Drosophila melanogaster: one gene and its partners. Changing the gene in region 2 together with the main gene of any one other region gives a genetic interaction. Each region holds a gene or a part of one and is shown on either strand. Other genes may lie near its edges. The genes, in order: dar1, sw, Dref and dop.

Evidence for each region.
Region 1: of sw (region 2) and dar1, changing one suppresses a phenotype caused by changing the other (phenotypic suppression), as found in Drosophila melanogaster (one study listed by BioGRID).
Region 3: of sw (region 2) and Dref, changing one suppresses a phenotype caused by changing the other (phenotypic suppression), as found in Drosophila melanogaster (one study listed by BioGRID).
Region 4: of sw (region 2) and dop, changing one enhances a phenotype caused by changing the other (phenotypic enhancement), as found in Drosophila melanogaster (one study listed by BioGRID).

The regions. Positions count from the first base shown.
Region 1 is NT_037436.4:3,624,776-3,629,398, reverse strand, and holds the start of dar1 (dendritic arbor reduction 1), read right to left. Parts: upstream 3,048-4,623; 5' UTR 2,318-3,047; coding exon 2,255-2,317; intron 1-2,254. UniProt on the Drosophila melanogaster protein: Transcriptional regulator which promotes dendrite growth by suppressing, either directly or indirectly, the expression of the microtubule-severing protein spas.
Region 2 is NC_004354.4:20,233,144-20,237,987, forward strand, and holds the start of sw (short wing), read right to left. Parts: upstream 3,056-4,844; 5' UTR 2,940-3,055; intron 2,808-2,939; exon of another isoform or gene 2,661-2,807; intron 2,604-2,660; 5' UTR 2,521-2,603; coding exon 2,366-2,520; intron 2,292-2,365; coding exon 2,145-2,291; intron 1,760-2,144; coding exon 1,632-1,759; intron 1,248-1,631; coding exon 1,185-1,247; intron 301-1,184; coding exon 280-300; intron 1-279. UniProt on the Drosophila melanogaster protein: Acts as one of several non-catalytic accessory components of the cytoplasmic dynein 1 complex that are thought to be involved in linking dynein to cargos and to adapter proteins that regulate dynein function.
Region 3 is NT_033779.5:9,963,619-9,969,048, forward strand, and holds Dref (DNA replication-related element factor), read right to left. Parts: upstream 3,612-5,430; 5' UTR 3,268-3,611; coding exon 2,142-3,267; intron 2,051-2,141; coding exon 1,758-2,050; intron 1,698-1,757; coding exon 1,310-1,697; intron 1,250-1,309; coding exon 927-1,249; 3' UTR 529-926; downstream 1-528. Other genes in the region: RpL13 (ribosomal protein L13), read left to right, coding at 4,017-4,259, 4,321-4,629, 4,699-4,803.
Region 4 is NT_037436.4:15,564,403-15,569,040, forward strand, and holds the start of dop (drop out), read left to right. Parts: upstream 1-1,610; 5' UTR 1,611-1,751; exon of another isoform or gene 1,752-2,397; intron 2,398-3,803; 5' UTR 3,804-3,904; coding exon 3,905-4,568; intron 4,569-4,638. Other genes in the region: SCCRO (squamous cell carcinoma-related oncogene), read left to right, coding at 1-723.

The DNA of each region.
Region 1 (4,623 bases), on a different chromosome or scaffold from region 2:
GATTTTTATCTATATTTAATTATTTACGATTGAAGCACAATGGTTCAGGGTCATTAATCAGAGCCGCAAAAGTCGGCGCTATAACCGCCTGGCTACGTGCTGGATTACTTCCATTATTCACTGAATGTATTCGATACGCAGATACTCGGATACTTGGATACTTCTATACTCAGTGCAGCTAATTCCCTGTAAGCGATCGTAAACTAATTTCGTTTAGAGCCATAAAATACGAAAGTTTTTCGTCATAATCGCCGTGAGTCGTGGGAATTACCTTACCATATCTCATCATATCTGTTAAATCAGTGGAAAACGGAAGAAGTCCACCCCCTCACCCAAAAGCTTACACTATCTGGAGGAAGTGGATGGGGCTTCCAGGGGGCCAAAGGGGGCCAACAGCGCTTTGTACTTTTGCGACTGTGTGTAAATATTTGACAACACATGCCTAATTAGTGCAGCTATTGATGGTGACAGGCGGAACAAGCACAACACACTTGTCGAACACCCAGCTCTTTTACGATGCCTTTTTACCCGGAATCGCCAATGTCTCGGGTTTCTTCGTCTGTACCTATGTATGTATATCTGTTTCGCTGAGGTTCCCGGAGTTCGATCCTTATCTCTGGGGGAAGGAAGTGTTCTGAGGAGGGCAGCTGGAGGCACTTAACACAGAGCTTTTGTTGAGCAAGGCTAGACTTTCTGCGGGAAACTGAACTTATCAATGGGCGTAAGGCTGGTAGACCAACGGTTGTAAAATGTTGAGATAAGGCAATAAGACAGGGAATGATAGGAAAATTTAGGAAGATAGCCTACACATCATAAAATTTATAAGAAAGATAATCAAGGCTCAAGATTATTGGTAATAAAAAAGTACGTATACTTTGAAAAATTAATTCATGGTAAATGAGTATGGCCTAAAAACTTAACCTATACTCGATAACTTTAATAACCACAATCTGTGCGATCAGTTTCACTCTAAAGTATTTATTGACATTCAGCAATAAACAGGATAAACAGTTCCTCGGAAAGACATATTACTCATACGTATGTACCCTTGCCGTTTGTAATTATGTTCTCATACTATCCAATACCATCGATCAATGCCACCCAGTCGATGATCAGGCTATAGCTATATGTATATATTCCCGGGTAGGAACCGTGTTGAAACCATCTCGTCAGTCAGTTGGGGACACTTGGCACATTGGCAAAGTGTTGGGGGCAAATATTTACCCAGAGCTTCGCAAGTAAGCGCGAGTCAAACAATTGAGGCAAACAAGCCGGGAAAACAGAAAAACAGGCTGCAAACATGGATATCGAAAGGAGGAGTGCGGATCGGATCGCATCGGATGGACTGTGATCGCCACAGTTTCCCTGCGGAACGCGTGAAAAGTGTGGATGAGTTCAAAAGAGTTAACCGACCGTGTATTTGAGAACGGCTTTAAGAGCCGAGAGTTCCTGCAGGTGATAACAAGATTTACAAATCGATTGTCGCATTTGACAAACAAAAAAAAACAAAAATGGGGAAAAAACGGCGAAGGAACCGAAGGAACACCTGAGGAAATCCAAGGTGTTAATCTCTGTCGAAACACACTCGAGAACACTCAAAAATTACGCAGTCCAACTCCTCATCTCAATCGATAATTGAGCTAATTTGTTTTCGGTTTTATTGTAATTTGTGATTGCCGCGTGCGTTTTATTTATACTCGTACTCGAATTCGTACAAAAATCGTCAAAAATCTGGTCTGTTCAAGATTTGCATTTTGATAAGCGGAAGTTGTTGGGCTTAAGGTGTTTTTCATGTGATTTGTAAGCTCTCGTATTTGTTGTGTGCTCGCTTATTGTTGTCAAATTTGGCTAAAATTAATTTGCAATAAAAGCGGCTTAATTAGCGCACTTTGGTACGTAAAGTTTTTTTTGTTTCATTTGAATTGGGTTTGACAAGGAACCTGTGATTGCAAATTAATTGGCTAATGATTACGATATTTAAACGCTTTGTGATGTGTTCATCCTTGTTTAAAGACACACATATTCTTTCTATAATAGTTGGATATATTTCCATTTGAATGTTGATCAAGCTAGGGAATTTTATTTAAGTGATTGATATTTGAAATTTCGACACTGCCTTTTATTTGATAGAAAATATCTATCTGCTATTTGGATTTTATTTATTACAAAAGATCAAGTTTTCTAGATCTTTTCGCTGGAATTTCCAGAATGTCTTAAGTAGCCTTTAATTAAATATTCTAGTAACCGAACTCACCTGCATCACCCAGTAGTTATTGTTGGCGGCAAACTGATCACCAATTATGATATCCGTATGCATTTAAGCGGCGTTTTTCGCATGAAGCTCCTTCACTCGACTGTTGGCCAGGTGGAATGCCTGGCGGGGGAGGGGATGCCACCGATTCTACCGATATTCTACCAATATTTAACCCGACAATTTGCAACTGGGCTCCGTACTTTTGTGTTTGCGGACAATTAAATGGCGCTGCTCTGACTCACGAGTCACGATCAGTTCAAGGCACAGTGATTAATCAATTTCGGATGCGAATTCAAAATCGTATTCGGAATCGAATTTCGGGATTATTATTGAATACTTCAGCTTGACATGGCACTGCGAGCAACAGACATTGCGGCACGTTTTCTTATTATTCAATTGCTTTTTGTTATTTGTTGTTAAATTAATTTAATTTGCAAGGATATGCAAATGAAGGCACTCGATCACTTTCTCTCACTCTTTTGTTTCCCTTTGTTTGCACACTGATTTTTTGTATCCTTTGCGTTAATTGCACAAAATTAATAAAAGCCGGCGGCTTTCGCTCACTTCCGCATTCGATGATGAGCTTCGGCTTGTATCTTATTTGTATCTGTATCTCTTGTTCCTCTCGATATGCTGTATATATGGGCAGTAAATTCGTTGCAATATTCTACAGATAATGGTAAGGCACTTGCGGGTTTCAATTTATAACTTATTTTCTGTGTTGCTTGAGTGGATATTTAGGCGATTCACGCGCTCGTCGGCGAAGTTGTTACTGCGCTGGCGGGAACCGAGTTCGTACTGATTGGACGAGCGCGGGTTTCGCGCAGACGAGCCTCGAAAGTCAGAAAGCCAGTCAGCTAGCTGCCGCTTAACCCCCGCCGCTTAACCCTCCACTGCCCGCTCTGTGCCGCTCTCGCTCACCTTTCGTATCTGTATCTGTCGGATACTCTGCTCACCAGGTGTTCCGCTCACCTGGTCCGCTCTCCGCCACTTTCGGCCCAGGTGATCTGTCGCTCTTATATCCGACTCTCAGGTGTGTTCCAGCCAGCTGATCTTATTGGAGACACTGGAGTATAAGAGCTGCGATCGATTTTAATTGAATGAACCGCCTGGGATTCGCCATTTTAGATTTGACCTGCGGTAGAGGTGGTAATGGGTGAAAAAGTAAGTAACCACGCTTCAGAAAAGATCTCGAAATAGGGCAAGGAGGTTAGAAATTAAAGTTTATAAGTCCCTTATGGAGTATTCAGTAACAAATAAATAAAAATTATTAATTTTAGAGTAATAATTTTATTATAATCCGATCAATTAGAATATCATTTAAATTTACAAAACTTTACAATTAAATGTTTATATAAATAAAATCTACATATATGGCTTCGATTTGATTTAATTGATTTCCGTAAAGAACTTTTATACGACAGAGTGTTTTTTAAGGACCTCGTTCTTTTTTTATAAGTTTTATAACTTAAGGTATAAAATTGGTAGCCTTTAAGGAGTAATAAATCAAAAACATACAAAGCATAATCCCCGAACAGAACCTCCCCCATTAAAACCGCTTTACTACACCGTTCATTAAGTTTGACACATTTTAGATAGAGCCTAAACAAAATAAAAACTGTCCAGCTAACACGCGAATCTTTCATAGACCTCATGCAGTTTTAGATGGTAAAAAAAAAACATAATTAAATAGAATTAAAGCATAAATTAAGTCAGCTTATGTGCTTTCTTTGGGGGAAATCAATAGAGCGACAATTAAAAGGTATCTGTATCTACATATTCCAGGTGGAAAGCAAAAGAAGAACGAGGACTGTCATTTCCCTGTGTAATTCCCTGAATCATAAAATTACCCCAACGCACGCCACACATAAAAGCCATTTTCATTTCGACTCATCCCCCTGGTTTCCTTATTTTTGGCCATTAGGGAGCCACAAGTTTATGTTTTCCGCGCGCGGGGGGGTAAAATGGTTGGTGCAGGGGGGCCAAAAGTATCTGAAATAACACGCAAACGTGGTTTTCTAAGGGGGTTTTTAGAGGTGTGGCCTCTCCGGATAGCGGCGCAGACTCAAAAGTCAGCCAATCGGCGGTCGACAAAAAGAGCGAGAAACACGAGATACAAGATACAACGAGTGAGCGGGACGGGGCATGCGGTTAGAAAGAGAGAGCGAGACACTTTTGCGTACACGGTGGCAGTAAGTGGAAAAAACAACAACAACGCTACACGCAGGTGGAAAAACAAAAACATCAACATACATGGTCAGATACGAAAGTATCTACACTCGCAGATACATTCGTCCATATTCGACGCCACCGATAATTGACTGTAGTATTCCCCGGCTTTCGCTATTGACTTCGTGCAAATTTGCCAT
Region 2 (4,844 bases):
GGCATATATATATTCTAGGATAGGATTACCATATCAAGCGTACACTAAGCAAGTCAGAAAAACTCTAAGGAGCATAGATCGTGTTGTGGATAGATATTGAGCAAACTACACAAATACATAATGTGAGTATATAGAGAAGTTCAGCATAGAGAGGTTTCAAGGTAATGGTAATATATAGGACTACGGGTATAGATACGCTTCTTACGAGTGGCACACAGACCGCTACGGAGGCTGAAAAGTTCTAAGTACGGAATTACGCATACAACGAGGACTACTCACCATAATAATCCGTAGCATGAGCTGCAGTTTTTTTTTCGTGCGTGCCAAAAACAGTTAAGAGGGAAGAAAGAGAAAGTAAATAGACAAATTATTAAATGCGCTCGAACGGTTTACACTCTAATGATCTATGGGTTCGGATGTGGACATGGATGGATGTGGATGGAAAGATTGATGCTGGACAGCGGTGGCCATGCGGAAATGAGTCGAGACTGCGGCGTTAATGAAGCGAAACAAGGCCAATTGGTGTAATGCTTAGTGCTACCAATAACCTTTACAAAAACGCGACAAAAATTAAAGTAATAATTATAAAAAGGCGTGTTTAAAGAGGGGATAAACATGACACATTGCGTTGCAGTACCATTTACAACCTATATTTTTAAAAGTTCGGATTGAAGTGTTCAGATAGTGTGCTGAATATTGCATAGTATACAAAATAGTGACGAATGGTTTTTGAAATCGTGTCTGAGCTTTTCCAGTTTCGAACATTTATAAAATAAACTAACAAAAACAATTGCTGGGATAGATGGGCTAAATTGAGAGCACTGAAGGAACCAAAAACCAATAATGCGGATTGACCAAATCAAGAGAAATCTGTCATAAGATGATCAATCGACCAGAAACTACGTTTCTTGGGCATTGCAACCAAATTGGGCCGAGGCAAAGCAAAAGGAAGCTGTCTAAATTCAAGCAGTTAAGTAGATAGTCCACCGAATTGTCTACGCATGTACGATGCTGACATCCTTCTGCCTGCAGAGCCTTACAGCAAATTTAGACTAAGTCGTGTGGGCGCTTCACATGGAGCTCTTCGTGTATTCACATGTGTATGCCGCTTCGTTTTGTCACAATAACTTTCGTGTGCTGATGTGTGATTAGGTGTGGAGTTTGCTTAAAATTAAGATTAGTACCTTTACGTGGACGCCACCAGTCCTCCATATATCCTGACAGAGGCGAGGAGTGGCAAGAAAGAACTGTATTTGTTATTTTATTTCACTATGGATTATGGTTTCTGTTTGCATCTTTGTTTTTTTTCTCTGCTGGGAGGGACGGGAGTTGGGGGCACTTGATGGGGAACAAAGCGCGGAAACAGGGTCAGCATGCAGCGGTGTAAGCTAGCACCAGACAGAAAGGGAGAGTTTGGAGCACAGACATGGACAGAGAGAGTGAGAGGGACAGATAGATACACTGCTCCTCCGGCGGACGGTGACGGAGTCTGGGAAACAGCAGGGAAGCCAAACACATTTAACAACGAGACCAAGAATAAGAACGGTAACAGTAGCGAGAGATGGAGTCAAACTATGGATAGTGGTTACGGTAGAGCCCAACCAGATCCCCGCCCCGGGGGCAATACGCACCATCGCCGTTTCCGCCTCCGGTACTGGTCGTCTGGGTCTGCTTTGTGTAGACCAGTGTCTCTTTTGGTGGAATGTTCGTAGCCTGCACATTGTAGACGCTTAGGTTGAGGGGCTGTTTCTTTCCGCCGCTGGTGGGGGGTGCACATAAGAAATTGGTATTAGTTAGGAATCGGTTAAATGGCAATAGCAATAGTACAATACATTGATCGTTAAAACTTAATCAGTACTAAGCCCATTGTCTAATCTGTGTAATACTAATTTTTAAAACGGCTAATGCTAAAATTGAATTGTAAAAATTGCCACGCTCTCTAACCAGGATTCCAATTTTGACTACTGATATTTTTTTATGTTAAGCTTGTAGATGGGGAATCTGTCTCTACAGTTGTTTAGCAAAAAAAACTTAGGGAATCAAATGTCTATACCTATATGACCTGAATATGTCTAATATGCCCTGCGAACTTCTGCTTAAGATGGTAATTCTACTCACAAAGCTTTTGCTATGAACTGGCTTACCTCTGGCCATTGACAGTGGCTTGGAGGCTGGCGTCGGGGGTCTGTGTGTTCGAGTTGTCCGAAGTCATCGAGTTGACGGAGGAGAGTGAGGAAAGGACCTCGGAGACGGGGGCCACGCCCAGCGATGACAGCATTTCGTCGAGATCCCTGAAAGAGGCGAACGAAAGTTGGATGATGGCGGTGCTGAGTCAGCTCTGAGGAGAAGCTTATGGCAAACCCACTTGCGCTGATCCTTGTCGATGCCTGCTCCGCCGCCAATGCGACCGGCCGCCTCCTCCATGTCCTTGATCTCCTTCTCGCGACGCCGGCGATCCTTCTCCTCGCGCAGGGCGGCCAACTTGGCCTTCTTGCGTTCCAGCTCAGCCTTGCGATCCATTTCTCGGGGCGATTAGCTGCTGCGATTTGCTGTTCGAGTGGGCGTTCGGTACGGGACTCTAGATCTCTGGCGGGCCAAGTTCTCTGCAAGGGGGATGCATGATTAATGGTCGCCAATATTGGTAGCTTTGATGATGTCACCAACTGCTGGCCAGAAGCAAAGAAAGTGGGTGCGCTGTGTGGTTCTCCACCGCTCGCTTGGCGTGGCGCAGCCAACTCATATGTTCTCCTATCGCCAAGTGGAGCACATTTCCCGGTAACCCAGTGAGTGGCCGTCACTTTACTTTCCTTTGCTCGGCCAAAAAAAAAAAATCAATAATCCAGCGATTGGACTGTGACGTCTTTTCGCCCTGGCTGCGTTTTTCAACTTCCTTCTCTCACTGCTCTTGTGATTTTTCCATGAAATGCACAAAAACCCACCTCTTGACTGTCTTTACTCGTTGTTCGGCTGCTTTTTAAGTACTTAAATCATCATTTTTCAACAATGTAAAAATGCGACTGACTTTTAATGTTTTGACTAACTAGAGATGGAACATCGCCCACGGCCAGTTACTTCGCACAGTTATTGGCACACGAAGGAGATAATGGGCGCGGCTGGTTTACATAGATGCCCAAAGGGTGTGGAAGACTAGGATTCTTAGCGGGATTCCGAATTCTTAATTAACACAAGTTTAAACACAAGAATAAGATTTTACTACTGTACGGCGATAGCTGTGAACAGCTGTCGTGACAGCGATAGTTCCAGTCTTTCCATGCACTAGCGCAGCGATCTGGCAGCACTACTGCGTTTAGCAGAACGCTGTTAGTTACAGTTACATTTCACATACACTGCAACACACTTTATATTTATTAATATTTATATTTATTTATGGAAGAAATCTACAAATCATGCTTAAATAGAGCTTCAAACTGAATATATATATATATATATATATATATATATTATATTATATATTATTAATTATTAATTATTAATTATTAATATTAATTATAAATATATTAGATTAATATATAATTATATTACCATAATTAATAATAGGTAAAAAGTATGTTAATACAGAGATATGCCGCATTTTAAAATTGTTATGTTATAGGTGGCTTACAGTTATCATAAAAAAGTTTTGCACACTCACACACATGCACTATGAAATATCAGTGTTGCTTTCTGAAGCGTAACTTTTAATTTATAGATTCAAGAGAGGTATCTGTAGGTAAATTCGAATTGATACACAGTACCTTAATGATAATACACTGATGTCCCATATGCATACAAAATTAAATAATCCTTTTAGGTCTAAAATTCAGCTAAAATTAATGCCCACAACCTGTGCATTTGTTTGATTAAAATGCTGAGTGTGAAGTACTACAAAATGTAAAAATTAATTAATTAAGAAAGGTAAGCAAGACTATTCTTGTAAAAAATTACCAATACCGCTGAAATTCCCATAGTGACTCAAAACTACTGAGCTTACAAAATACGTTCAGGGTTCTGAAAGTATGTACATACATACGTATGTACATATGTATGTAGATATGTCGTGTTTTAATTGCCCCTCCAAAGTGCCAATTACATTCAATGCGCGTCTTTGGGCCAGTGAAATCACCAGAACCCGCCGTGGAAATAGAAAGCGCACTTAGGCGATGTGTCTTTCCACAATGTATGCCATAATTTGTGCCACCAATGCCAGATGTTGCTGCAACGCGGGGCGCAAAGCGAATCCAACAGTAGTACGTGCCTTCGGTCGTATCTGAATGTATCCGAAAGTATCTGAAAGTATCTGAAAGATACCGTATCCAAAGTGCCAAGGAAGAGGTTTTCATGGGGTTAAAGCGCCCATGAAACTTTTGGGGATTTTATTTCGATTCGATTTGGCGCATCTGCACATCTGCACATCTGAATTTAAATGCCAGCATTCGACGACCCAAAAACTGTAGTCCGAGTTGCTCGTTTCGTAACCGCATTGATAAACCGGACTCGAACTGGAATCGCTCCGATGATCCCCCATGCTGCAGTAAAAACCTTGAATTGCCAAATCTTCGACTGCTCAACTTTTTGCTCCAGGCCGACAAATCTTGCACATGGGCGGGAGTTGGCAAACCGATGAGCGGATACTTAATATCTTCGCTTTTTCCCCGCGCTAATTGCCAGGCCAAACCTGTCGCACCGAAGTCGAGATGCCAGCGCGATTAGTTTACAAATTAATTTGCCAATTGAATTTCAGATTTAGACGTCTGGCCGGGCTTCCAAGAACCACCTCCACCTGGTTTCCACATGGGATCGGGCGAGAGTAAAAGTGTATTGTTAATTAGCCACTACACGCCGCC
Region 3 (5,430 bases), on a different chromosome or scaffold from region 2:
TTTCAGAGATCTCCTGCTGGCAGAGCAAGTTCTTCGATCTATTGGTTTCAGTCCTATTGGCAGTAATATCGCGGCTTTCGTGCCCTTCTTTTGTGAGGAATCCAGTTCGTGGGTCGGGTGCCTACGTCTAATTGGTGTGACCAGCCAATGCGAAATCCGAAATGACTAAAATACAGACTTCCTCCCGGTTTTATATTATTTAAAATTTTTACTATTTGTTTTATTTTAAAGTTTAAAAGCTATCAGTAAAAAAATTAACTTAATTAAAAAACAAATGTCGAAGATTATTTAGATTTTGTTTGTCGCAGACGAAAAATATGAAAATTTTCCGATGATTTAAAAAAGGGAAATTTCGAGGGCTGCAGAGTAAAAAAATAAAACATATTTTGAAAATTAAAGAAATATGTCAAATATATAAAGTAGCTAACTCCAAACCGACTACTAATTGTTTCGTAGTTCAGAAATTTTTTTAATACTGAATTAATTGTAAAATATCTAATTTTAGTTAGTTCAATAAAACAATTCACGAAAGTTAGATGCATTTTATTTATTTATAAGATTAAAATATCAATTATGTACAACTAAGTTAAGTATTTAATTAGTTCTCTTGAAATGGATATAAGGGGATTTACAAGTGAGCTTGATAAGCGTGATATTTTTTCGTTATGGATTTATTAAACAAATATTCTTAGATTATCTGTTTGATTTGAATATATGATGTCAAAATGTTCCCTTAACATTTATACGTCGATAACTTAAGATGTTCCGTGTACGTCCCAAGGCTGTCTTTTGGTTAAAAGTACTGCGGAATCGCTATTACTATTTGCCTCGCCCCTGGTAGTCATTTTCATATACACAAGATCGGATTACGTTAAAAGTAATTAAAAAGTATTTGCATTATAAGAAACAGTAGTCGCCAGTGCAGACTAATTGTTGTGATGATGAAGAAAGAGGATGGCGTCGATGTGACTACCGGTGAGCATGAATCGCTTGTTGAAGTCGTATATTTGGTCTCTCAGCGCCTTCTTGAAGCTGAGCGTCACCACGCCGGGCACACTATGGTACAGGCTGGCCAAATCGCGGAGCGTTCCATAAATGTGTCCCATCTTGAGCCACCACTCGATGGGCGACTCATCCAGCTGAACGACCACCTCGTTGCGATATCGCTTAAGATCGGACTCCACGCTGCTGTCCGCATCTCGCTTCGGAGGATTTGGTATCTCGTTACTGTCAAACAGCAGTTTCAGACCTACGGGCATTTTCGTTTAGTCCATGGTTTATGATAATCGATTTAGTTCGATGCACTTACCCAACTTCTTTGGTGCACTGCCGTCCACTACTCTTGGTTCTGACTTAATGGCCACCACGCTGGAGGTAGCTGCCACTTCGTTGGATTCCCCTTCGCCCACTCCACCAAAGTTAATGTTATACTTATGGGTCAGCATACGAACGGTTCGCTCTAGGTTGTCAATGGTGGTCAGGCGGTGGAAGCGTGGGTCCAACAATGCAGCAGCGGTCAGATTGTCATTGGATATAACGTGCGCCTGGAGGACACTGGAAATGGTCCGCTTCAAATTCATCATTAGGGGATCGTCCTGCTCGGCGATGCCCAACTTCTTGATAAGAATCTTTGAAGTGATTGGCGAAAGCATGCTACACAAGGGAATGTCTTCGCCACGCAGCGTGTCCAAAGCAATCTAAAAGATTTCACACAATAAGAAAACTGCTTAAACGTCTCATTTAGCTTGATGGCTTACCACCAGAGCACTCAGGGCCTCCGTCACCGTCTTGGCTGATATAACCAGGTGATCCATGTCCTCGGACCAAGATATGGACTCGGCAAAGAACTTCAATGTTTCGTACAGTGTCCAGGGGAAGTGCTCGTTGTACGTGGGCATGGGCACCTCGGACACCTTGGAGGCAATCTCCGTTGAATGACGCTGCATTAGGTCCTTCACCTGCTCCAATAAAGTGGCCACCTCTTCGATCTCAAACACACGACGCAAACATTTGTCAATTACCGAAACGTAGCACAGCGAAATGGGTATATCTGCAATAAAAGATTCATATTCATTAGGAAGTCCAATATTTGATATATATTCTATATAAGGTAAATAATTCTGACTTGCTAATGCACTCACTTTTCTCTCGCAGATAGGTGTGCAAAAGGTCCTCTTCCTCGTCGTAGTTTATGATGGCCAGTGTGCAATTGGCCAAATAGAAGTCGGTCAGCAGATCGTCAAAGACGATGTAGTCGTTGTACTCCACGGTGGCATACAGCATACCGCGAACTGAGTGCGTCTCCTCGTCCAGAAAGTGATGGAAGATGCTAAGGAAGCGCCGCTGTTCAACATTCACCCACATCTCAAAGGCGAGAGAGAAGGGCTTCTCGGAGGTGAAATCGCGCGTGATTTCGCCAATCTCCAGAAACTTGGAGGCGTGCATCTCATTGATCAAAGAGTCGATCTTGTGTGGCTCGGGCATGGCTGCCGAATTGCCTAGGACTTGACGCAGGAATTCACCAAAACCGGCATCGTACAGAGAATCCACATTGCGCAAATCCTTAATCACAATGTCCGTAAGGGCTTCGGCCAGATTGGCGATGTTCGCCACGGCGGCATAGCCGCCTTCCTCGTGCTTGATGACACGCCCGTGCATCAGGGCACTCGATGGAGTGGCCACTTTGCGTTTGCGTCCGTACTTTGGTTCCATAACTAGGCGCTCCTCCTCCTCTACCAGATTTTCGGCCTCGTCGTAGGTGAAGGGCACCATGGTCTCGTACAGCATGGTTTGCGAGGAGGCGTCCTCCTCCGCCTGCATGGCCGCAGTTGCCACGGCTGCTTCGTCCAGTTCATCATCGGAAGCGTTATCGTGGTTCCGGTTATTAATGAACTCCAGTTTGACCCGCCGCGAGGAAACATTCCGCTTGGACAGCGGTGGATGGGATACATTACGCGGCGTCTTGCGCGGCGGCACATGGATGTCGTGCTCCTGGCACAGCTCCTTGAACAGATCCTTGTGTCGGTGCTGGAGATGCGCACGCAAATTGGTGGTGTTGCCATGGTTGGTCAGCACCTTGTGACACTTAATGCAGACCACATTCTGTTTGGTAATCACCTCATTATTGTCGTTCGAGGGGAATCCAAAGTAGCGCCAGTATACGCTTTTCATCTTGGGCGAGTACAGTTTGGAAAAATTTAGCTGCGACACATCCTCGTACTTGAGTTCGCCAATGGCCACGGGCGACGCTGGTACCCCTTCGCTCATCTTGTCTTCTGTGGGGGATTGGGATCTTCTTGTTTGTTTTGAATTAGATTCGACAACGATTGCTGTGCCCAATGCGTGTATTAGCGCGCAATTTCTCGATTATAGATAGACGGTTCAATAGTCAATAGTTTTTTATCTGTATCAGAAGTACAGTTCAGAGTTGCCACGCGACACGCCGTCAATCGATAAGGCAATAAAACGTTGCTAAATGCTTCAAATGCACTCTCATTTATTTGAGATTATTTTTACAGACTGCTCAAATATGAGAGTCACCGCTTTTTAATTTCAATACGTCTGACTGTCGTAAAAAATGCGATTTGTTGAGTATTCTCGCTAACACTGATTGCATCACCAATCGATAGCTGGGGAAATTTCTCGCTCGGCCGGGGGAATTTCTCTAGGGAAATTTTCGCTTGGCCTACGACGTGAAGTTGGTTGCGATTTCCTTTTTAATTCGTTGTTGGGAAGAAAAGGTGTGTAAATTTCGTGAGCGTCACGAAATTCAATGAAAATAAAAGATAAACGAAATGCAAATCGAGCCATCGAGTGTGCCAAGTGTGGAGGACACAAGTGGGCATCATTGACACCCGTAGGCATGAAGAAGTGCTCGGAATTACGGCTTAAACAAATCGAAATTCGCCAGCCACGTGGGCCTGCAGCTTGGTTATCCCATATATACGAGTTTACAAAGAGACATTGATGTTATTATTGTGTTTTTGCCCTCGTTGCAGCCAATCTAAACCGCCAAGATGGGTAAGGGTAACAATATGATTCCGAATCAGCACTACCACAAGTGGTGGCAGCGGCATGTGAAGACCTGGTTCAACCAGCCGGCCCGCAAGGTCCGCAGGCATGCGAACCGCGTCAAGAAGGCTAAGGCCGTCTTCCCCCGCCCAGCCAGCGGTGCCCTGCGCCCTGTGGTTCGCTGCCCCACCATCCGCTACCACACCAAGCTGCGTGCCGGCCGTGGTTTCACCCTGGAGGAGCTGAAGGTAAGTGAAGCCGAAAACATTATCGGAATCCATTGGCCACTAACAAAATCTCTGTTTACAGGGTGCCGGCATTGGCGCCAACTTCGCCAAGACCATCGGCATTGCCGTCGACAGGAGGCGCAAGAACAAATCCCTGGAGTCCCGCCAGCGTAACATCCAGCGCCTCAAGGAGTACCGCAGCAAGTTGATCCTGTTCCCCATCAACGAGAAGAAGATCCGCGCCGGCGAGTCCTCTCTGGAGGAGTGCAAGCTGGCTACCCAGCTTAAGGGACCCGTCCTGCCCATCAAAAATGAGCAGCCCGCCGTGGTCGAGTTCCGTGAGGTGACCAAGGATGAGAAGAAGTTCAAGGCCTTCGCCACGCTGCGCAAGGTAAGTTTTTTGGTTTCGTGATCCGCCGGTAGCTCGTTATACTTATTCGCCGCCAAACTATATTTGCAGGCTCGCACTGATGCCCGTTTGGTCGGAATCCGCGCCAAGCGCGCCAAGGAGGCCGCTGAGAGCGAGGACGCCGCCAAGGGAGACCCCAAGAAGGCCAAGAAGTAAACCACATCTTAACCTGATCGTTCTGTCTACAACATCAACCAGAATAAAATCTTAGTTTTTCTTAAACGTGAATATTTGTGCACATTGTTGTTATTGTCGCGTCTGGCGTAAGACTTATCGATAACCCGTGTTGCTATCGATAAGTAGCTTTGGCGCGTTGAATTCAAACTGGCGCGTTTGTTTTTAGCTGCTGCATCCAAAAAAAGAAACGTATGTTGCTTGCCATTACTTTTTTATTTTTTCTTATTTTTACCAGCTTCTTAATTTATTTGGGTTAAATTATTAAAAAGTTAAATCTGTGGTGCCATATAGAAGATTTTCTTAGGATACGCATCTTGAGCAAACGAAAAGGTTGCAGAAGCTACGTTTCTTATTTTTTTAAATATCTTTTGTTGAAATGTTAATTACAATATATTGAATTTTTCATTAGAATGGTGTAGGGTAAAGATTAAACTAAACAACTGTATTTTATCTCTGCAGTAATATATTTGCAATACCTTTTAAGGTATTTATGCCTATGTACATATGTATGTACATATGCGCGTTTCACTATATCTGAAAATATTGAGTTTAAAATTGATAAGCTGAGTGAGTGAAGGGCTTCACTATCGCGTTTCATCTTTTTTT
Region 4 (4,638 bases), on a different chromosome or scaffold from region 2:
CCGGAGTACTATTACCGGGAGTTGGATCGCAAGCGCATCGAGCAGCTATTCATGCGCTATCGGGATCCCAGTGATCCCCTAAAGATCGGATCCCAGGGCGTAATCCACTTCCTGGAGGACTTGGACCTGAAGCCAGACTCAAAACTGGTGCTGATCATAGCGTGGAAATTCCACGCCGAGGTGCAGTGCGAGTTCTCGCGTGATGAGTTTATCAATGGCATGTGCGACCTGGGCATCGATAGCATCGACAAGCTAAAGACCAAGCTGCCCATCCTTGAGCAGGAGCTGAACGACGCCGGCAAGTTCAAGGACTTTTACCACTTTACCTTCAACTACGCCAAGGATCCGGGGCAAAAGGGCATTGACCTGGAAATGGCAATCGCCTACTGGTGCATCGTTCTTAGTGGGCGCTTCAAGTTCTTGGACATCTGGTGCCAGTTCCTCGAGGAGAAACACAAGCGGGCCATCTCGCGAGATACGTGGAACCTGCTGCTCGACTTTGCCACCAACATCGACGACCGGATGAGCAACTACGATTCGGAGGGCGCCTGGCCGGTTCTAATAGACGACTTTGTGGAGTGGTGCCAGGAGAACGATCATCTCAAGGAGGACTCCTCGCCGGCATCCGGCTACCAGCAGCAGTCCAGTGCTAGCTCCAGCTCCCAAAAGAACATATCCAGCGCCTACCAGACCTCGCACAGTACAAACATGAACTATGGCTAACGAATTGTTACACTGTATTGTATTCTCATTAATGATAGATTTGCTTTTATTCTGATTATTCTAAATAACGGAGAATCTAAGCACGGCCGGTAAATTTACATTTTCTCTATAAAAGCGTCATAATAAATAAATAAAGTTAGTAAATGTAAGTCCCCGGCGTCCTATTCATTGAAATTGATAGTGGTAGACAACATCTAGTTCATCCGTTAGAAATAAATAGAAATTGTGGAATATAAGCGTAACATTTTCAAGCTTAAATTTAGAAATCTAAATGAATTTTTATTTCGTTGCTTATGACTAGACATAAATCACATCCCTCTGGTATTATTTTAGTACCTAATATTTTGTAATTTTTACGTTCTTCTATCATTGATAAATACAAATTGAAATAATTTTCCCTTTTGAAATAAAACTCGAATGCTATTATTTTGATGAAATTTTTGGTTTTTTTTTTTTTTTTGAAGTAAAGTGTATTCGATCACCTGTTTTCTAACAATAAGTAAATTTCTTGATGATTAAAAATGTTTACTTTGCAATGTTACATAACTGTACCTACACATACTTTAAAAAATAAATAATTATTTTCATTTTCCAAACATTTAGTGTGAAAATATTTGAAAAAAGTTCAACAAGGTGGAATAGCTTTTCTTCGGTCACACTGAAGAGTACTGTTTAAAATCGATAATTTGCTTATATATTCTGGATCAAAAACAGCTGGTAACTGAAGACGCAACCTTCAATTCTTAAAGCTGAAACGGGTTTTTTTATTTGCTTTTACATAATGTTGTTATTTATATTTTCAAACGCCCCGCCAATAGCAAATTAATCTTAAGATTGGAGTGCCACCACTGCCGTGATTCGATAACTTGAGCAGCATCAGGGGTCATCGCTAGTAATGTGACCGTTCGGCTGATTGATATTGTTACAACGATTTTTTCGGTGTTAAAATATTTAGTAATACCCCTTAAATCGCGATCGAGGCACGCGAGTGTGTGTGTCTGCTTTAGCGTAAATGCTGCGTATGAAATGTAAAGTTCCAAATCGAGTGTTAAGCGATGTAACAGTGAGAAACTGACAATTTATTGTACCAAAAACCCCGTAATCGCAACGTCTGTGGGTGTTCGTGTGCTGTGTGTGTGTGGGGCTCCTTCGCCGCCCCCACACATACACATACACATACACAGCTATACCATTACCCATACCAATGCAAAGCCCCCACTTGCTGTTGTTGTGGCTGCAGTTGTTGTTGTTGTTTTTCCTATTGGCCATAATTAATTTGGTCTCGAAAATCCTTTGCCCTTGGTTATTTATTATTTATTTTTTGTGACTGCTGTTCTGGGCGCTCCACACAATATAATCAAATCCGTGCAAACAGCGGTGGTCGCATTTGCGAATCCAATTATCATGTGAATAACTCGCGCGTCTCGCCTCGAGTGGGCGAAATTTAAACAAATATACACCCCGTTGGCCGTGTGTGTGCGCACCTAGTGTACAATCCGCACAGTGTGTGAATAAATGCCACTAAACAAACACACAAAAATAAACGAAACGAAACGAAAACAAACTGATAACCGCAGAAGTCGTCGGACTACGACAACGTCTACATGGAGACCTCGGAGCACCATTTACGATCGTGCCATATAGTGTCGTATAGCTTATATCGCTCACACAGCTGTTAGCCCCTTGCCGTCTCGAGATCCGATCCCAACCCAACCCATCGTATCCCATCCATTCCGCTCTGCTCTGCTCTGCTCCGCTCCTCACCTGCAGATAATCGTATAATTTAGTGGCCTTTTATTCCGAACAGCGAGGAGGATAAACAATGGAACTGAAACTGGGTTTCTTGGTTTGCATTTCGAGTGTATAAACTCAACCGAAACGTGTAACGAGCCGTTCAATTCAAGAAAGAAATGCAGCCTGCAGTAACTTTTTATCAGTATCAAATTTAACTGAATTGTTAAATAACTATATGGCGATTTCGGAATGATCATTACTGCACTTACTTGCTTTTAGATTTCGAAAAAAATAGATGAGGTTTTCAATGTTAAAGTGATATTATTTCGTTGCCACTATATTTGTTAAATGCATTTCACAATGTTGTACTTAATGATGTTTCAAGATTGAAAGTCTTAGAATGTGGAAATTTCACACAAAGATTTAAAAGAAATAATTTCACATCACATAGTATTGAAAAAATTTGAATGTCTTTTGGAATTTTTAAATTTTGAACACTTATGTATGTATTAGTATGAACTTGAGAAACTATTATTGAATCCATGTATATTTGTAAACATATAAAAGCATATGGATGTGTGTTTATAAATTTCCTAGCGGTCAAATTCGCTATACAAATATTTGGAAAAGTTTCATCTAAATTAGAAACTGTGTTGATACTTAGCTTTCTGAAATTTCTCAATTCCAATTGTGTTTTGTAGTCATTTCAATAGAATGTACGAACAGCCAAACAATTTAGAGCTTGATATTGGTCGATAATTTAAGAATTTCTATTAGTAAAGTGGTACGATCAAGCGGCTTCTATCTACAATTATTAGTTTTTATGCAGAATATGAGCATTGGTAGAATCATTGTATTTTGTGAGGTTGTTGACTCAAAACAATGGCTTCTTAGTCAACTAAAATAGATCTCTGAGTCAGCGGTACTTGATTTTCGGTTGGAAGAGATTTCCGTGTCACCCTTGTCACTGCACAGCATTGTGATTCAACCATTCAGCAGGCACTTGCTCATTGTGGAATTTCTGGACTATCACCCAAAACCAAGTGGGCGATCGCTTCCCGTATATTCCCGAATGTGTGTAGTATGTACTACATATTAGTATATTTCGATCCAAGTTTTGACCGATTTATACATATATAATTATTAGCTGTTAGGCTCGTGCAAAGTGACAGCCCAACGAGATTAATTAGCCAGGGGTTTGTGTGTGGAAGCAATTGCCAGCGTCTGGATGTCGGAGATGGTATGGTGTGGGATGGGATAGGAAGTGAGCTGTTAACTGAGAACTGAGAACTTAGAGCTGGGAAGCGCCTTGCCAGCCGTATGCTAATTAATTGCTTTTATTGCAGCCGCCGACGCCATGCCCAAAAGTCGAAGCAACAAAGCCCCGGAGACAAATAACAACATGCGATCCTGCTAAGATCAGAGCGAACGCGAAGCCAGCACGATCATGAGTCGCCAGGAGGGAGCTGCATCCCGTCCAGCCGATGGAGCCACCGGCCCAGTTGCATCGTCATCATCATCGACATCGTCCAACCACTCAGTGAGTGCTGTCCTTGGCAGCAAGATATCCACCTCAACGCCGCAAAAAAACGATGAGCACCAGGAGCAGGAGTTTATCAATCAGAGCGTGGCAAGCGAGATCGAGGCCATGTCCATCTCGGACTCGGCATCCGCGGAGAGTAGCAGTGGCGCCACGGCCACAGCCACAGCCACCATGAGCGGCAGTCCGGTGCCCAAGCGGCACTTGAGCACGGCCAATCTGTCGCGGATACGCCCGCAATCGAGCTACTCGGCACGCGTACTCATCTTCGACGACTCCGACCAGGAGGCGGCTGCCGCTGCAGCAGCACTTGCGGCAGCATCGTCGTCCTGCAACAGCAGCGTCAAGTCGTGCAGCGGATTGGAGCTGCTGCCCACCTCACCGGCCAAGTTATCCATCGGCAACGACAGCACCAACGGCTCCTCGATGATGCGCAACCTGAACCTGACCAAGAGCTCCTCCGGCGGTCTGAGCGGAAGCTCCAGTTCTTTGCACTCTAGGGGATACACCGCCCTGCTCCGGAAGATCTCCTATCAGCAGCACACCAACTCGCTGCGCGCTGTCAGCGGCGGTAAGAGATTATGCCATCCACATAAAAAAACCTCATGTTGTTTATGAAATGACTTAACGTAAAAAAAAGA